Linked DNA regions of Tamandua tetradactyla. The protein of the gene in region 1 purifies or fractionates together with the protein of each later gene. This does not show direct contact. Links are inferred from orthologs where the notes say so. Each region holds a gene or a part of one and is shown on either strand. Other genes may lie near its edges.

Region 1 (7,688 bases):
AGCACTTCAAGAGTAGGGGGAAAAAAGGAATATTTAAGCAGGAAAAAGTAGTTTTTATAAGTCTTATTAATATCTTGAAGGCAACTCAAGAGATACCTGCGAACATTTTACACAGGACAAATGACTTGACCACAGGTAGAAATATTCATTTTTTGAAGAATCAGGGTGGCATAGAATAGAATCCAAAAAGGCTATTGAACGTTAGGGGACAAAATCCTTTCTCCTTCCTTGTGGGGCTCTTTCAATTCATGAAAGAAGCCTAAGAAGCTACATCTTGATGATGCCCAGCATGACAGTCACAGGCCACATGTGGCTACTGAACAATATTTGAACTGTGGCTTTTGCAACTTGGGAATCGATCTTTTATTTGTATTTATTTGATAATTCAATTCCTCAGTTGCACATTTCAAGTGCTCAAAAGCAAGTAGCTAGTGACTACCTCGCTGGACAGCACAGATACAGACCATCTCTATCACCACAGAAGTTCTATTGGACAGTGCTGCTTAGATCCTTATCGTGAAAGTGGTGTCAGAGACCACAGTTTAACTCCTATTTATTAACTATGTAACATATACCATGTTAAATGCTATGGTCATTAAAGGAACGAATAATGTATAGTTCCTCGCTCAAAACACAACCTAGTGAAAAGGACTTAACTTGTAAGAATGAAATAAATGCTAAATTGCTTTAAGGGGGTGGGAGGCAGTGATTAATTCTAATAAAGAAAAGCTGGGTTTGGCTGGAGTTATAACCTTCACTTATTATGGGCATGGAGGCACTGAGTACTTGGAAGAGCACAAGTTTTGGCATCAGAGAGTCTTGGGCTCATGTCCTATCTCTTTATACCTTTGATCAAGAAGATGTCATTCATCTATAAAATGGGGATAACAGCAGCCTACCTACAACAAACACAAGGCTCTATCAAATGAGATTAAGAATAAAGCAACTTCAAAAATAAATAACTCAGATATGGCAAGTTGAGGAATCAGGAAGATTTCACAGAAGTAATATTTGAGATAGGCGTTGATCCATCTCTGAGATCCTACCCAACAGGAGTTTACAGAGAGGTGATTCACTTTCTTTTTCACATCTCAGCACAAGTTACAAATAATATTTAAAAGGCATATTGGGGTATGAGAAGGCTCTGGTAGTTTCAGGCTCTAGCCAACTGATTAGATCCTTCTGAGGATCCCTCTCTCAGTTTAACATATGATATTTGAGAGTCAGCCTGATATGGTCTGCACCTCACCAGCTCTAAGGCCTTGAAAATAACAGTTAGCCACTCAAAGTTTCAGTTTCCTCATCTGCCAAGTAAAAGTGACATCTCCTACATTACATACAGTTGAGAGTTCATGTAAAGTCACTTCCTATACAATAAATGGCCTACCACATATACACTATCGAGAACAACTCCTCATCCTTCTGTTACAGCACTCACATCAGATAGCTGTGTAGATTCCCATCTTTCCCTACTAGACTGCAAGCAACTTTCTGAAGGCAAAGACCATACCTCACACTGAATAGTCAACAGTCCCATCTCATCACGATTTCTCAAATGTCTACATTATACCTGACAACATGCTAGATTTTCATCTGGATTATTCTGCTTATTTTTCACCATAATAAGGAGTTGGTTGAGCTCCAGTTTTTCCTCATCTACAAAGTTCCTACTTCAACAAATCCCTCAGAATGAAAAACAAACAACAACAATGTATGCAATGCTATTAAGTTACTAGAACATAATAAAGGGACAATACCAGTTATCATCATCCCCATTTTATAAATAAGGAAACTGAGAGACAGAGAGGTTAAGTTGCTGGTGTTAGTAAGTGGCAGTCAGGCTTAGATTCCAGGCAACTGGCCTCTGGAGCCAACATACTATCAAGTGCCCAGTGCCTGGCACATAATAGGCTGAGATCATTGCATCTGTCAGATCCTGAGCAGTCTGGAACCAATAGCAGCTGCATGAGAGTGAGGCCTGAGAGATAAGGTCTAGATGGTGTGGCCCCTTAGGCTCTCTATTCAGTGTGGGTAACTGTACCCCTTCATAGGGCTGTTCAAAGGACTGAGTGAAAGGACATACTTTAAGTACCAGCATTATGGCTGGCCCAGAGTAAAAGCTCTGTACATAAGTGGTAGCGATTCTTGCTCCCGTCTTACGATGTGAAAACAGAGGCATAGATGAAGAAACTGGCCCAATATCAAGCAAGGAATCTATCTTACTCCAAATGCCCAGCACAGCGCTCGGTAGATAACAGGCTAAGGCCTGTACCCTCCACCGGACGTCGAATGCTGCCGAAAATAATAGAAGTGTGAGGAGGAGCCTAAGAGAAAAACAGCCTGATGATCTGAAGTCTAGGAACCTGGGCCGTGGTTCGAGGGACCTCAGACAAGTGCCTTAACCGTTCCTGGGCCTCCGTTTCTTTCTCCAAGAAATGAGGATAACACTCTCCAAACTCAGAAGCCCGAGCCTAGAAAACAAGGCTCAGTTGAGAAGTTAGAGGGGCATGGGAGAAGAGGGCAACCAGGGATGCGCACAAGGGGGCGGGGAGGGGATATTTACCTTTGCGCAGCTCGCGGTGCCACACGGAGACGATGGGTCCCGCGTGCTTGCGGTGGTGGATGAGCCACAGGGACAGGGTCTGCACGCTCTGCTGAGAGTTGCTCAGCTCAGAGAGCTTCTTCTCTAGAGCCGACTCGGAGAAGGAGGACATGGTGGCGGCAATGAGGCCCGGCAGGAAGCGGCCTGGACCGCCGAGAACGGCGGTAAGTGCAACTGCACCAGGCCAGAGCCTCACTTGAGAGACTGCCGGACTTTTTTACTGACTGACAGACTGCCCGGGTGATGGAGGGGGGATGGGATAGGTCTCCGCAGTAACAGCCGTCCGCGCCGCCGCCACAAGATGGCCACCGACCTCTCACCCCCCGCGAAATCGGGGTCAAAGGGCAAGAGCCGTAATAACTAGGCACCCGGAGCTGTAGAGTAACGCCCCACCAGTGATAGCGTCCTCTCTCGACCTCGCTCGGGGTACTTCAAAGGCGACAGACAGAGAGAGGAGCTCAGTTCCGCGGATGTCCTAAGGCGCTTTGAGCGATCGCGCCAGCACGCCGGCGCAGTGAGTCTAAAAAGAACCCTTTTTCCCGCGCCCGCGGAACTTTTCTAGTGCGGTACGGCGCGCTCGTTATCGCGTCACTTCCGGCGGGGTGTAGGAGGCGGGAGAGAGAAAGACAGGGGAAAGACTGGAAGACGAGGTAAGAGAGTAGTGGCGGGACCAAGAGGGAGCTTAGCAGGACGGAAGCCTGAGAAGGCATCCTGAGGTGACATCGAAGCTGAAACATCATGGCCTGGGTATGGGGGAGGGCTTCTTCCCTTACCTGGTCTTTTCCAGGTCGCACTTGAACGCCATACATGTTCTGCTCTTAGGCCGCCAACAGAAAGCTTTTTGTTTTGTTGCACTTTCACGTGGCCGTGCTTTGGCTTTTGCTGTTCTCTCCCCAAAGGTATCGACCACTTTCTCACCAGGTCTTCCAGGACCCACTCTTTAATGTCCAGTTCTGACATTTAGTCGGTGCATTTAGTTAAATGCTACACCTTTGTGTTCTTAATTGGTGATTCGTTCAGACTGTCCTTGCCAGTATGGGAGTTTGTCCTTAAAGTTAAATACTATTAAACTTTTAGGGGGAGGAGGGAGGACTTATTTTACCCTCCCAATGCGGCCATTGACCACCTTTGAGAAACACTATTTGAGAGTCTGAGGGCTTATTCTATTATTATGTTTTTATCCTATTATTTTTAATGTTAAAAACTTTTTAAAGTTTTAAAATCCAGTTATCAAAGCAGCAAAGAATTTTATCTTTCTAACTGCTGTAGGGATGAGGATAGGGAGTTAGAATATCATTGCCATAACAGCATTTTAAAATTTTCCCAATCGTAGTTGAACCTCCCGATTGTAGGCAGACCCTAGGCATCACATACTTTGCTTAGATGCCTTTATCCCTCCTCCAGACAAGAATCATCCTAATCATAGCTAAAAATTAATGATTGCTTGCTATGTGCCAGACCTTGTTTTCACATAGTAACTAATTTAATCCTCACAACAAAATGCCAGGGTCAGTATTATATAATTACAAAATAACAAATGATATAATTACAAAATAACAGATGAGGAAACTGAGGCTCAGAGAAGTTAAGTGACCCGACCAAGATCACTGCTAAGATTTGAGGGCAGGGTCTACATCTTTTCCATCTCTTTGTCTCTGGTCCCTGATTCCTGAGTGAGTGGATTAATATAGAAAAGATGAGTGGCCTAAAATCATACAATTAATAACAAATCATAATCATAACCTAGGGTTTTTGAGTCCAACTCTAGACTTTGTATTAAATAACACTGTCATATATTGAGCACTTTTATACCAAGTGATTGTATATTAAGCACATTACATTCTTCTATTTAATCCTTTCAACAATTCTATGGGGTAATAATTATCACTATTTGATAGATGAGGAAACAAAGCATGGTTAAGTAACCTAAGATCTCACAGCTAGGAAATGACAGAACCAGGATTCAAATCAAGATTGTCTGATGTCTGATCTCATATTCTTCAATATTAAGCCAGTGGTTTATTCATTCATTCAGCAACAAGTATTGAAGATTTATGTCTGAAGCACTTTTCTAGGCAAACAGACAAAAATCTATATTCTTGGAAGCTTACATTTTCTAGGGAAGTTAAATAAATAAACATGCAAGTATAAAATGTGTCAGAAAGTGATAAGTGCTTGGATAAAATCAAGAAGGGTAGGGGGATGAGATTTTATATGTATGAGTGCATAGGATTCTATTTTATATATAATAGTCAGAGAAGGCCTCACTGACAGGGTGACATTTGATCAGATTAATATAGAAAAGATGAGTGGCCTAAAATCATACAATTAATAACAAATCATAATCATAGCCTAGGGTTTTTGAGTCCAACTCTAGACTTTGTATTAAATAACACTGTCATATATTGAGCACTTTTATACCAAGTGATTGTATATTAAGCACATTACATTCTTCTATTTAATGTGCTTAATATTAAAAAAGTGAGAGAACAACCCGTGTGTTATATCGTGGAATATTGTTCCAGGGAGAGGGAAAACCAAGTGCAAAGTCCTAAGGTTAGACCATTTTGGCATTTTTGAGGAACGACAAGGAGTACAGTAATGCTGGAGTGATTTGAACCAGAAGTGCGGCTGGAAATGAACACCGAAATGTAGCAGAGTCAGATCAGGTGGAGAGTTGTAGGCCGTAGTAAGTACTTTGGATGTTACTCCAAATTAGACAGTTTTGAGCAAAAGGAGGTCATTGTGCCTGCTAAGTAGAAAATAGACAGTAGGGGTGCAACGGTAGAAGAAGGAAGACCAGTTAGGTGGCTATTGTAATAATTCATTTGAAAGGATGACTCAGACCAAGGTGTTGCCTGTGAATTGGTGAGAAGGGATCAGATTCTGGGGACATCTTAGAGGAAGAAGTAACAGGATTTACTGTCAGTTTGGATAATGGGGCATGAAAAGAGAGAGGGGAGTTAACATTGCCCCAAGGATTTTAACCTAAGTAGTCCTCAGGATGGAGTTTCCATTCACTGCGTTGGGAAAGAGCAAGTTTGGGGTGAAAGAGCTGGTGTTTGGATTTCACATGTTCAATTGAAAATGCCTATCAAGTAGAGATGGCTAATGAGCAGTTGGATTTGTGGGTCTGGAGTTCAAAGGAGAGATCTGGGCTAGAGATAAATGTGGAAATCATAAGGGGCAGTAGGCGTGAAAAAAAAAAAGGTAGAGGCCCAGTGACCGAATCCTCCTACACGTCAACATTTATACATCTGAAAAATGAGGCTGATGTGATCCTCTGATTTTTCTTTGTTAGTCTATTCATATTCATTGCACTGAGCAATTTTCAAATTTTGAGCCAGTCTTGCATCCCTGGAAAAAAACCCACTTTGTCATGTTGTGTAATTCTTTTTATATATTGCTGAATTATATTTCCTGATATTTTGTTTAAGATTTCTGCATCTATAAACACGACGGCTATTAGTCTGTAGTTTTTTTATTTTGTCTTTGTCTGGTTTTGGTGTGAGGGTAGTAATAACTTCATAAAATGAAAAGTTCCCCCCTCTTCTGTTTTCTGAAAGAGTTTGTGGAGAATTAATTGGTTTTAATTCTTTAAACTTTTGGTGGAATTCTTCAGTGAAACCATCTGGGTCTGGAGATTTCTACTTTTGAAGTTTTTAAATTGCAAATTCAGTTTCCTAAATAGTTATAGGGTTGTTCAAATCATCTATTTCATATTGTGTTGCATGTGTTAGTTTGTGGTAGTCGAGGAATTCACCTATTTTGTCTAAGTTGTCAAATTTATGTGTTTTGAGTTGTTTGTAGTATCCCCTTACAAGGTCTATTCACACTTAAAAGGTGAATTCTGTTTCATTTCTGATATTGGTAATTTGCATCTTCACTCTTTGTTCTTAGTACTCTTGCTAGAAGTTTGTCAATATTATTGATTCTTTCAAGAACTAGCTTTGTTTCATTGATTTTCTTTAATGCTTTCTGTCTTCAGTTCATTGATTTCTGCTCATATCTTTATGATTTCCTTCTTTTTGCTTGCTTTGAGTTTATTTTGCTGTTCATTTTGTAGGTTCCTTAGGTAGGACTTTATTGATTTGAGACTCTTCCGCTTTTTTAATATATGCATTTAGTACTATAAATTTCCCTCTCAGCAGTGCTTTAACTGTGTCCCACAAATTTTACTGTTGTATTTTCATTTGCATTCTGTTCATTGTATTATTATTTTTTTAATTTCTCTTGAGTCTTTTTCTTTGACCAGTGGATTGTTTAGAAGTTGTTTCCAGGTGTTTGGACATTTTCCTGTTATCTTTCAGTATTCATTTGTATTGTGATTCCATTATGGCCAGGGAACTCACTGTATCATTTCAGTTCTTTTCAGTGTGTTTGTTTGTTTTATGACCCAGCATGTGGTCTATCTTGGTGTATGTTCCATGGTCACTTAAAAAGAATATGTATTCTGCTTTTGCAGAGTGGAGTGTTCTATAAATGTCTGTTAGATTTTGTTGGTTAATGGTGGTATTGTGTTGAGTTCTTCTATGTTCTTGCTGATTTTCTGTCTAGTTCTATGAATTGTTGAAAATGGGTGTTGAAGTCTCCAACTATAATTGTGGATTTGTCTTTTTCTCCTTTCAGTTCTTTTAGTTTCTTTCACATGTGTTGCAGCTCTGTTGTTTGATGCAATCACGTTAGGATTATATATTTTGAGGGGATTGACCTTTTTTATCATTATATAATGTCCCTCTCTCTCTTTGGGAGTTTACTTTCCTCTAAGGTCTACTTTATCTGATATTAGTGTAGCTATTTCTGCTTTTCCTGAAGTAATGTTTGTGTTTTTTTTCCATCCTTTTTCTTTTGACCTGCCTATGTTGTTATGTTTGAAGTGAATTTCTTGTTGACAGTGTGTAGGTCATCTCCCCTGCCAAGGTGTCTTTTTAGTTGGTGTTTTTAGACTGTCTATATTTAATGTAATTATTGATATATTAGAGCTTAAGTCTGCTATTTTCCTTTTTGTGTTCTGTTTGCTCTCTCTTTTCATTTCTCTATTTCCTTTTTCCTGACTTACTGTGGGTTACTTGAACATTTTTCAGGA
Region 2 (7,772 bases), on another chromosome or scaffold:
AGAAAGAGACCAGCTGAAACAAGATGATCAGGGAAGGCCTTTCTGGTAAGTAAATATTTGAACTGAAGTCTGAATAATGATAAGCCAGAATTTGAAGAAGTCTGAGAGGTGAGCAGGACAGACGTAGAATCTGGTAGACTGTAGTAAATATCTGGCTTTTAATGCTGGTTCAGAAGGACATCACTGAGGCTTTTAAAGCTCAGGAAGGACATTCTTTTATGCTACAGAAAAATCACATTAGAAAATGATGGTAATAAATGCTTCAGCCATGAAAATTAAAAGAAGCCTGAATAAAATCAGTAGAATTCCTCCATAGGAGTATAACTTCAGGGAGCCTACTTGCCGTCTCTAAATTATTTCCTTTAAATGAACAAAAAGTCTCTTATTACACATGATGAAATAAAGGATAAAATGAGAATATCTCTGGAAGAGCTAACACAGTTACTTAAATACACACTAAGGATAAATATAAATTACTAAATAAGAATGGATGACAAAAGAAAAAATGAGAAGAAAAAGCAGCATCAGGATAACAGAAAGAAAGGCTAAAATGCCAGACAGTTTTACCTAAAGCCAACTTAGAAACCAAACTCAAATTGAAACTGGTCTAACTGTAAACAAACTACAATGTAAATGGAAATAAGGCCCAATGCATAAACTACTACAATCCTGCCCTTCACCATAACCCTTAATATTTCTCTCTAAAAAACGCTTTACTTATTAAATGGATGATATTCATTAAATGTAAATAAACACAAAACCACTCCAAATTAACCTTAAAAATAACCATTTTAGAAACTTAAGTTCTATTCCACTAGGAAAACAACTGGGCATTGGAAAGTCATAAGTATTAACTATATAAACTGTATACAATGCGCTTCAAATTAATTATTGCCTTCCTAAAACGATCATTTTTCACTATTGATACCAAGAAGGGAAACAGGTTCAGGCATAATATCAATAACCAGTCAAGGTAGAAAAATTTTGGCCCCAGTGTATTTCATTATTGCTGACCAGAAAAAAACATTTTAACTGTCACTTGTAATTGCCACAAGGCAGACATTGGGAACAACCTATTTCTGCAAATTCAGAGCCCAAAGGTAGAAAATGTTAAATAAATGTTAGAATAATCCGTAGCACTGCTTGCTACCACTGGTGTAGCAAGTACATTCGTGTTCCCAGTACATTAAAGAATAATCTTGAAAATATTATTTTACAAGGCTAAACGTGATCACTGTCACCTGATCTGGCAGAATCAAGTCCTGATTCCACTATTTTGCCTTGTACTCAACTCCTAAGAAACTTAACATGTCATAGTCTTGGTTTCCTCATCTGTAAATCAGTGATTAGAAAAATCTACTTCTCAGGATTATTTTCAGAAATAATGAGATAGATGTTACTCTAAATCACAATAAAAGGCTGGGCACATAGGAGATATTCAATAAATGAGAGTCTTTGATGACAACTATCATCATGTTTGATATTACACTTTTCAATTTTACCTGTTGGGAAGAAAGTAAGTATTTGTAAAATATAGGTAATCCTGTCTTGGCTCTCCTAACTTTTCATCATTATTATTCAAAGAACCACAAAATCATCTGTCTCAACAATTAACCTTATACACAAATAGCTGGAAACTTGGGGCTTATAATTTTGCAAGCTCTATCAATACAGGGGCTGGGATAAATAGAAGTAGAAAAAGAAACAAGAATAACTGGACGATGGGACTCAAAGGTGACATGCCACAGACAAGAAGCAACAAAATGGATATACACAATGAGCACAATTTATTCAATGGATAAAATTCAAATGGATATATATGGAGCTAGGGCTACCTCCTCTTCTCAGCAAGGAGCGATAGTCACTTGTCCACACCTCCCTCCTCTTAGATTTGAAATCCTTTGCAAACAAACCTATGCTTCCTGGAAGCTTAACAGACCTCTTTTCCATAGCAAAGCAGCAAAAAAGCAGTGGAAAAAACTCCACGATGAAGACAAAAAAGTAATAACTGAAAAATTAAAAGAACTACATACTCCAAAAGTACATTTCCTGTTTTGAGTACCTATGAAATCAATCTCAAAATGGGAAAAAGACATTTCAAGCTAATATGGATATGTTTTGCATTTTAAGGTATTAGTGATAACGCTGATTAGAGTATTTCAGCTGTTTCCGGTCAGTATCAAAAGAGCCCGTATTTTACTGCAGCAAACACAGGTCCAGGAAAAACAGCCCCAGTGGTGGCCGCAGCTCTGTGTGGAGCTCAGGTGGCTGCCGGATGGCATTCAGCCAGGTAAGGCCCCCTCATTACACATCACAAGGAGAGGTCAGCGGGAAAGGCAGAGCCGCCCCACACATTCCGGAGAAGGGGACGGATTCGCTACTACTTAGAACAGTTTGTTTACTGCCAGGAGAAGGACTCGTTACCACGTCAAGGCCTATAGGAAATAAACGGACGCGGTCATGTCCGTGCAGGGTCAGTCCAGTCAACGGCACACCTCGGTAGCCTCGGCCAGGAAAGAATGTGTAAACACCTGCGGATCGGGGCCCAACGGCCCAAGGTCAAGCCAAATCTGCGGCTAAAAAACCCACGCACTGAGCCTCCCGCAGCCCAGCACAGCGCTGCCGAGGAGGGCAGGCTGCGCCCGGGAGCGCTCGGGTCAAGGCCTGGACGGGGCCAGCCGCACGCGAAGGCAGCGGCTCCGCGGGAAGACCCAACGCTTCGGGAAGGCTTTCCTTCCCTCCCCCGGCTCCCCGGCTCCCCGGCCCCCGGCTCCCAGGCCCCGGCCACCCCGACACTCACATCTCCGCAGCCACTTCATCCAGTGGTAGACGATAGTGCTGTGGTGTTTCTTGTTCTCTATGCACCACGACGACAAGCCTTGAATGGACTCCATGGTGTTAGTTACCGACTGGAGTTTTCGGTCCAGCGAGGCCTCCAGTGCGCCCGCCGCGGAGGCCGACGAGGACGAGGCCTTGCCGCCGCCGCCGCCGCCGCCGGCAGCCATCTTCGCGGTGTGCACAGGCGCCGCTGCTCCTCAGGCGGCGGCGGCGGCGGCGGCGGGACGGGGAGAACGATCCCTGCGAGAGCGCGGACGCCGCGGCGGGAGCAGGGGCGGGGCGGGGCGCGCGGGGCCTTCCCGGCTCTCGGACTGCAGGACCCGCGGCCCGGCGCGCTGGCGGCCCCACACGCTGCGAGCGGGGGCGGCGGGTGTCCAGGGTGATCGGTACTGTTCAAGGGGTCGTGTTTAAACCAGTCAGTAACCACGAAAGAACTACGCAAAAACAAACAAACAAACAAAAAAACAGGACCTGCAAAGCCTTTCAAGCGCCCAGCCCCGAAAGTAATGGTTTTATAACTCTAAGGCCCTTCCCCACCCCTAACCCACCCTCCTCTGAGTAGGGGCGGGCGTTAATTTCTTAAATTTAATGCCACCCGACCGCCGCTCTCAGTTGCAGAAATCTTTCTCCCTTAGATCCCCTAGCACAGAAAAGGCCCAACGCTACCTAGTCAGGACTTTTTTTTTTTTTTTTTTTTGCAACGCAACAGCAGCAAAGGGACAGCAATAGTATCGCGCACGCGCCGCTAGACCCCGCCCCGCTTCCTTCACAACCCAGAGCAGAGGAGGCGGGATGGCGGGGCAGTCTGACCAATCAAGGGAAAGAACGAGAAGGGCGCGCAGGGGCGCGCACGCCTCAAGGGCCAAGGCGGCGCGTCCATTACTTGTGCGCCTGCGCAGCAGCTCAGCCTATAGCGGCTGGGAGGAAAAACGGGGCCGGCTCGGGGGAGAAGTTGGTTTGGCTGAGAGGCTTGGGGGAAGGGCTCTGCCACTCTGCCTTCGGCTTCCTGCCGTGGTCCGTCTCTCAGCTCACAAAACGGAGCCGGAAAACTCCCACTGCTCGGAAACTACTGTTATTTTCTAGAGGCTGCAGCTCCGGCCGCCACTAAAACTCCACGGAGCAACAACGCGGGACAAAATAGCTTGCCACCATCTTGCGGCTGGTCGGATTGTGCGCCTGCGCATGCGCCAGCCGCAGCCCCTGCGCTTCGCAGGCTGTTCTCAGCACGCTGTTTCCCTCCCTGGCCGGCCGGTGCCGCTCTCAGCCAGTGGTCGTTGGGCTTGTAGGAAGAGAAAACAAACGACAAAGTGAAGGGAAAAACACCCCTCTAAAATTTTCGAGATGAGAGAATAAAAGGCGAGATGTGACCTCGCCTTCAGAGTTGGGATACAGTCTCACAATTGCTTGCTACGTTAAGTTGAGAAGACTTTAATATATTAAATCGATGAGCACGCCTCAGATGAGCCATTGTCGCCTTATCTCCCTATGTAAATTTCTCTGGGAACATCTGGGGGCTCCTTTGTCCCTACATACAAGTATCGTGTTTTAAATCTTCTGATGTTTTCCCGGAAGAGTCAAGTTTCTTGAGGCAGGGAACCCGTTTTGTCAAGTTCATGTCTAGTATTCAGTAGCAGTAAGTTACAGTTGAACGTCCTCGCCCCAAGTACTGTTGTAGGTGTTGAGGGCCCGTCCAGAGCAAGACAGAATAAAGGCCTTCCATCTGGGCTTGGGGTAGGGCACCACCGCCAAGTATACATCAGGTAGAAATAAGTTATACGAAACATTCATGAAGAGCGAGTGGGATGTGTGCATGTGTATGTTCCGTATAGGTATGCTAATCTGGTGTGATGATCTAGGAAGTCTTCTGGAGGGAAATGACATTGGATCTCAGTGTTGACAGCAAGGTAACCAAACGGGGAGGGAAGCAAAGAGGAACAGCAGGGTAAAGGCGCTAAAACAGGGCTGTCTTAGTATAATAGAGGAAGAACAAGGAGTCTAAGTGGTTGGAGAGTAAGAGCCAGGGCAAGTGGTAAAATGTGATATCTGAAAGGTGAAAAAAGAGGGAGTTCATGTAGAGCCTTGTAGGTCACTGTAAGGCTTATAACACTGAGGTTGGTTTTTCTTTTTCTTTTTTTTTTTTAACTCTGAGATGAGAAGCTATTTTAAACAGGAGTTTTTAAGCAAAAAAGTTACATGACTGGGTGTAGCAAAACAGATGAGAAGTGGTCAGATCCTGGATCTATTTTGAAGGCAGGGCCAAAAAAATCCCTCATGGGTGTATATGGAATATGAGAAAATGAGTCAAGTATGACACTGTGCTGGTTTGGAAGGATGTGTGTCCCCTAGAAAAGCCATGTTTTAATCTAAATCCCATTTCATAGGGGCAGAATAATCCCTATTCAATACTATATGTTTGAAACTGTAATTAGATCATCTCTCTGTAGATGTGGTTTAATGAAGAGTGGTTGTTAAACTGGATTAGGTGATGACCTGTCTCCACCAATTTGGGTGGGTCTTCATAAATTTATGGAGTCCTATAAAAGAGGAAACATTTTGAAGAATGAAAGCGATCCGGAGAGGGCAGAGCAGAATGACATAGCCACAAGAAGCAGAGTCCACCAGCCAGTGACCTTTGGAGATGAAGAAGGAACATGCCTCCCAGGGAGCTTCATGAAACCGGAAGCCAGGAGAGAAAGCTAGCAGATGACACCATGTTTGCCATGTGCCCTTCCAGCTGAGAGAGAAGCCCTGTGTTCACCATGTGCCTTCTCATTTGAAACATAAACCCTGAACTTCTTTGGCCTTTTTGAACCAAGGTATCTTTCCCTGGATGGATGCCTTAAATTGGACATTTCTATAATTTGTTTTAATTGGGGAATTTTCTCAGCCTTAGAACTTGAAACTAGCAACTTATTAAATTCCCCTTCTTAAAAGCCATTCCGTTTCTGGTATATTGCATTCCGGGAGCTAGCAAACCAGAACGGACACCAAGGATTTTTGTTATTTTTTTAAGTATTTGTATTGACAAATCACACACAGTCCATATATGGTATACAATCAGTGGCTGACAATATCACCACATAGTTGTGTATTCATCACCATGATCATTTTTTAGAATGTGTGCATCATTCCAGTAAAAGAAATAAAAAGAAAAAGCTCAGGGCTTCCGGGTAAAGATGGCGGCTTAACAACGTGCGCGTTTTAGTTCATCCTTCAGAACAACTACTAAATAACCAGAAACAATACAGAACAGCTCCTGGGGCCACATCAGTGACCAGACATACAGCGTACCCCAATCTGGACCAACTGGACTGGCTACAAGCACCCCCCGCCAGAACCGTGAGTTCCCAAAGCTGCCGTGGCCAGCGCCCCTCCCCCACAGGCCACTTCCCAGAGGGGAAAGGAAAGAGACTTTACCAGCAGCAGGAACTGGGCACAATCAAATGCCAATTGTGGAACTAATTAACAAATTCTGACTACTAAAAATAGGCCCCCAGCTTAGGCGAACATGATCAAAGCGGAGGTTGCTCATTTTTGCCCCAGCGCCAAGGGGGCAGGACTGACAGAAAAAGGGGGGAAAAAAGAAGGAAACAGAGGTTTTTGTGGCTTGACTGCCTCTGGATACAGCAGCAGGACTTTTCAAGCTGCAACTGCCCCAGGCACAGGCAGAAGTGAGCTCTTTTGGGGGCTTGTCTGGAGCCTGTGCCTTCCCCAGGGGAGGGGTTAAGCACAACTCAGGTGGAAGCCCTCCCTCAAAGAATTCAGACCCCAGGGCTTGGTAATTTGAAGCCATTAAAACCAGCCTACAATCTCTCCTCTGTCTCCACCCCGCCCCCAGCAGGGAGAGTCTGCCAAAGTTAAAGGTACCACATCATCTTATGCTGGTGGGACCTGCAGTCAGACAAGCCCCACACACAGGGCAGGAGAAGAAAAACAGAGTTAGAGACCTCACAGGAAAGTCTCAACCTGCTGGGTCTCACCCTCAGGGAAAACCAACGCAGGTGACTCTTTCCTCCTGATAGGAGGCCAGTTTGGTCTGGGAAAATCTGGCTGGGGTATATAATATCTAAGTAGACCCTCCTAAGTGTGTGTGTTGGGGAAAGGCACCACACAAGCAGGGCAAGAAACAAGAAAACAAGAACTGAAAATTTGTGCTCTGTTAAACAAAACTTAAGCTAAAGTTTCATCTAAAACTGAACGGAATGTCAAAGAACAGATAGACAACAAATTCATCCAGCAAGAAAACCCTAGATAAAAGAAGTGAAAGCAATCTCCAGAATAAACTAATTAAGGTAATTAAATGCCTAGACACCAGCAAAAAATAACAAATCACACTAGGAAAATTGAAGATATGGCCCAGTCAAAGGAACAAACCAGCAATTCAAATGACATACAGGAGCTGAAACAATTAATTCAGAATGTACGAACAGACATGGAAAACCTCATCAAAAACCAAATCAATGAATTGAGGGAGGATATAAAGAAGGCAAGGAAAGAACAAAAAGAAGAAACTGAAAGTCTGAAAAAACAAATCACAGAACTTATGGGAATGAAAGACAGAGTAGAAGAGATGAAAAAAAAACAACGGAAACCTACAATGGTAGATTTCGAGAGACAGAACATAGGATTTCTGAACTGGAGACGGAACATCTGTAATCCGACAAGAAACAGAAACTATAGGAAAAAAAATGGAAAAATATGAGCAGGGACTCAGGGAATTGAAAGACAATGTGAAGCGCACAAATATACGTGTTGTGGGTGTCCCAGAAGGAGAAGAGAAGGGGAAAGGAGGAGAAAAACTAATGGAGGAAATTATCACTGAAAATTTCCCAACTCTTATGAAAGCCTTAAAATTGCAAATCCAAGAAGTGCAGCGTACCCCAAAGAGAATAGATCCAAATAGACATACTCCAAGACATTTAATAATCAGAACG

The links.
Region 2: the proteins of RPRD1B (region 1) and RPRD2 purify together in Homo sapiens (affinity purification with mass spectrometry; 4 studies listed by BioGRID and IntAct, counting the BioPlex papers as one, with this or other methods). This does not show direct contact. The link is inferred for Tamandua tetradactyla from reciprocal best matches to the Homo sapiens genes RPRD1B and RPRD2.

What each region holds. Positions count from the first base shown.
Region 1 is NC_135327.1:14,129,276-14,136,963, forward strand, and holds the start of RPRD1B (regulation of nuclear pre-mRNA domain-containing protein 1B), read right to left. Parts: upstream 3,137-7,688; 5' UTR 2,715-3,136; coding exon 2,564-2,714; intron 2,441-2,563; exon of another isoform or gene 1,777-2,440; coding exon of another isoform or gene 1,758-1,776; intron 1-1,757. UniProt on the Homo sapiens protein: Interacts with phosphorylated C-terminal heptapeptide repeat domain (CTD) of the largest RNA polymerase II subunit POLR2A, and participates in dephosphorylation of the CTD by RPAP2. Transcriptional regulator which enhances expression of CCND1.
Region 2 is NC_135330.1:5,449,015-5,456,786, forward strand, and holds the start of RPRD2 (regulation of nuclear pre-mRNA domain-containing protein 2), read right to left. Parts: upstream 3,035-7,772; 5' UTR 3,006-3,034; coding exon 2,801-3,005; intron 1-2,800.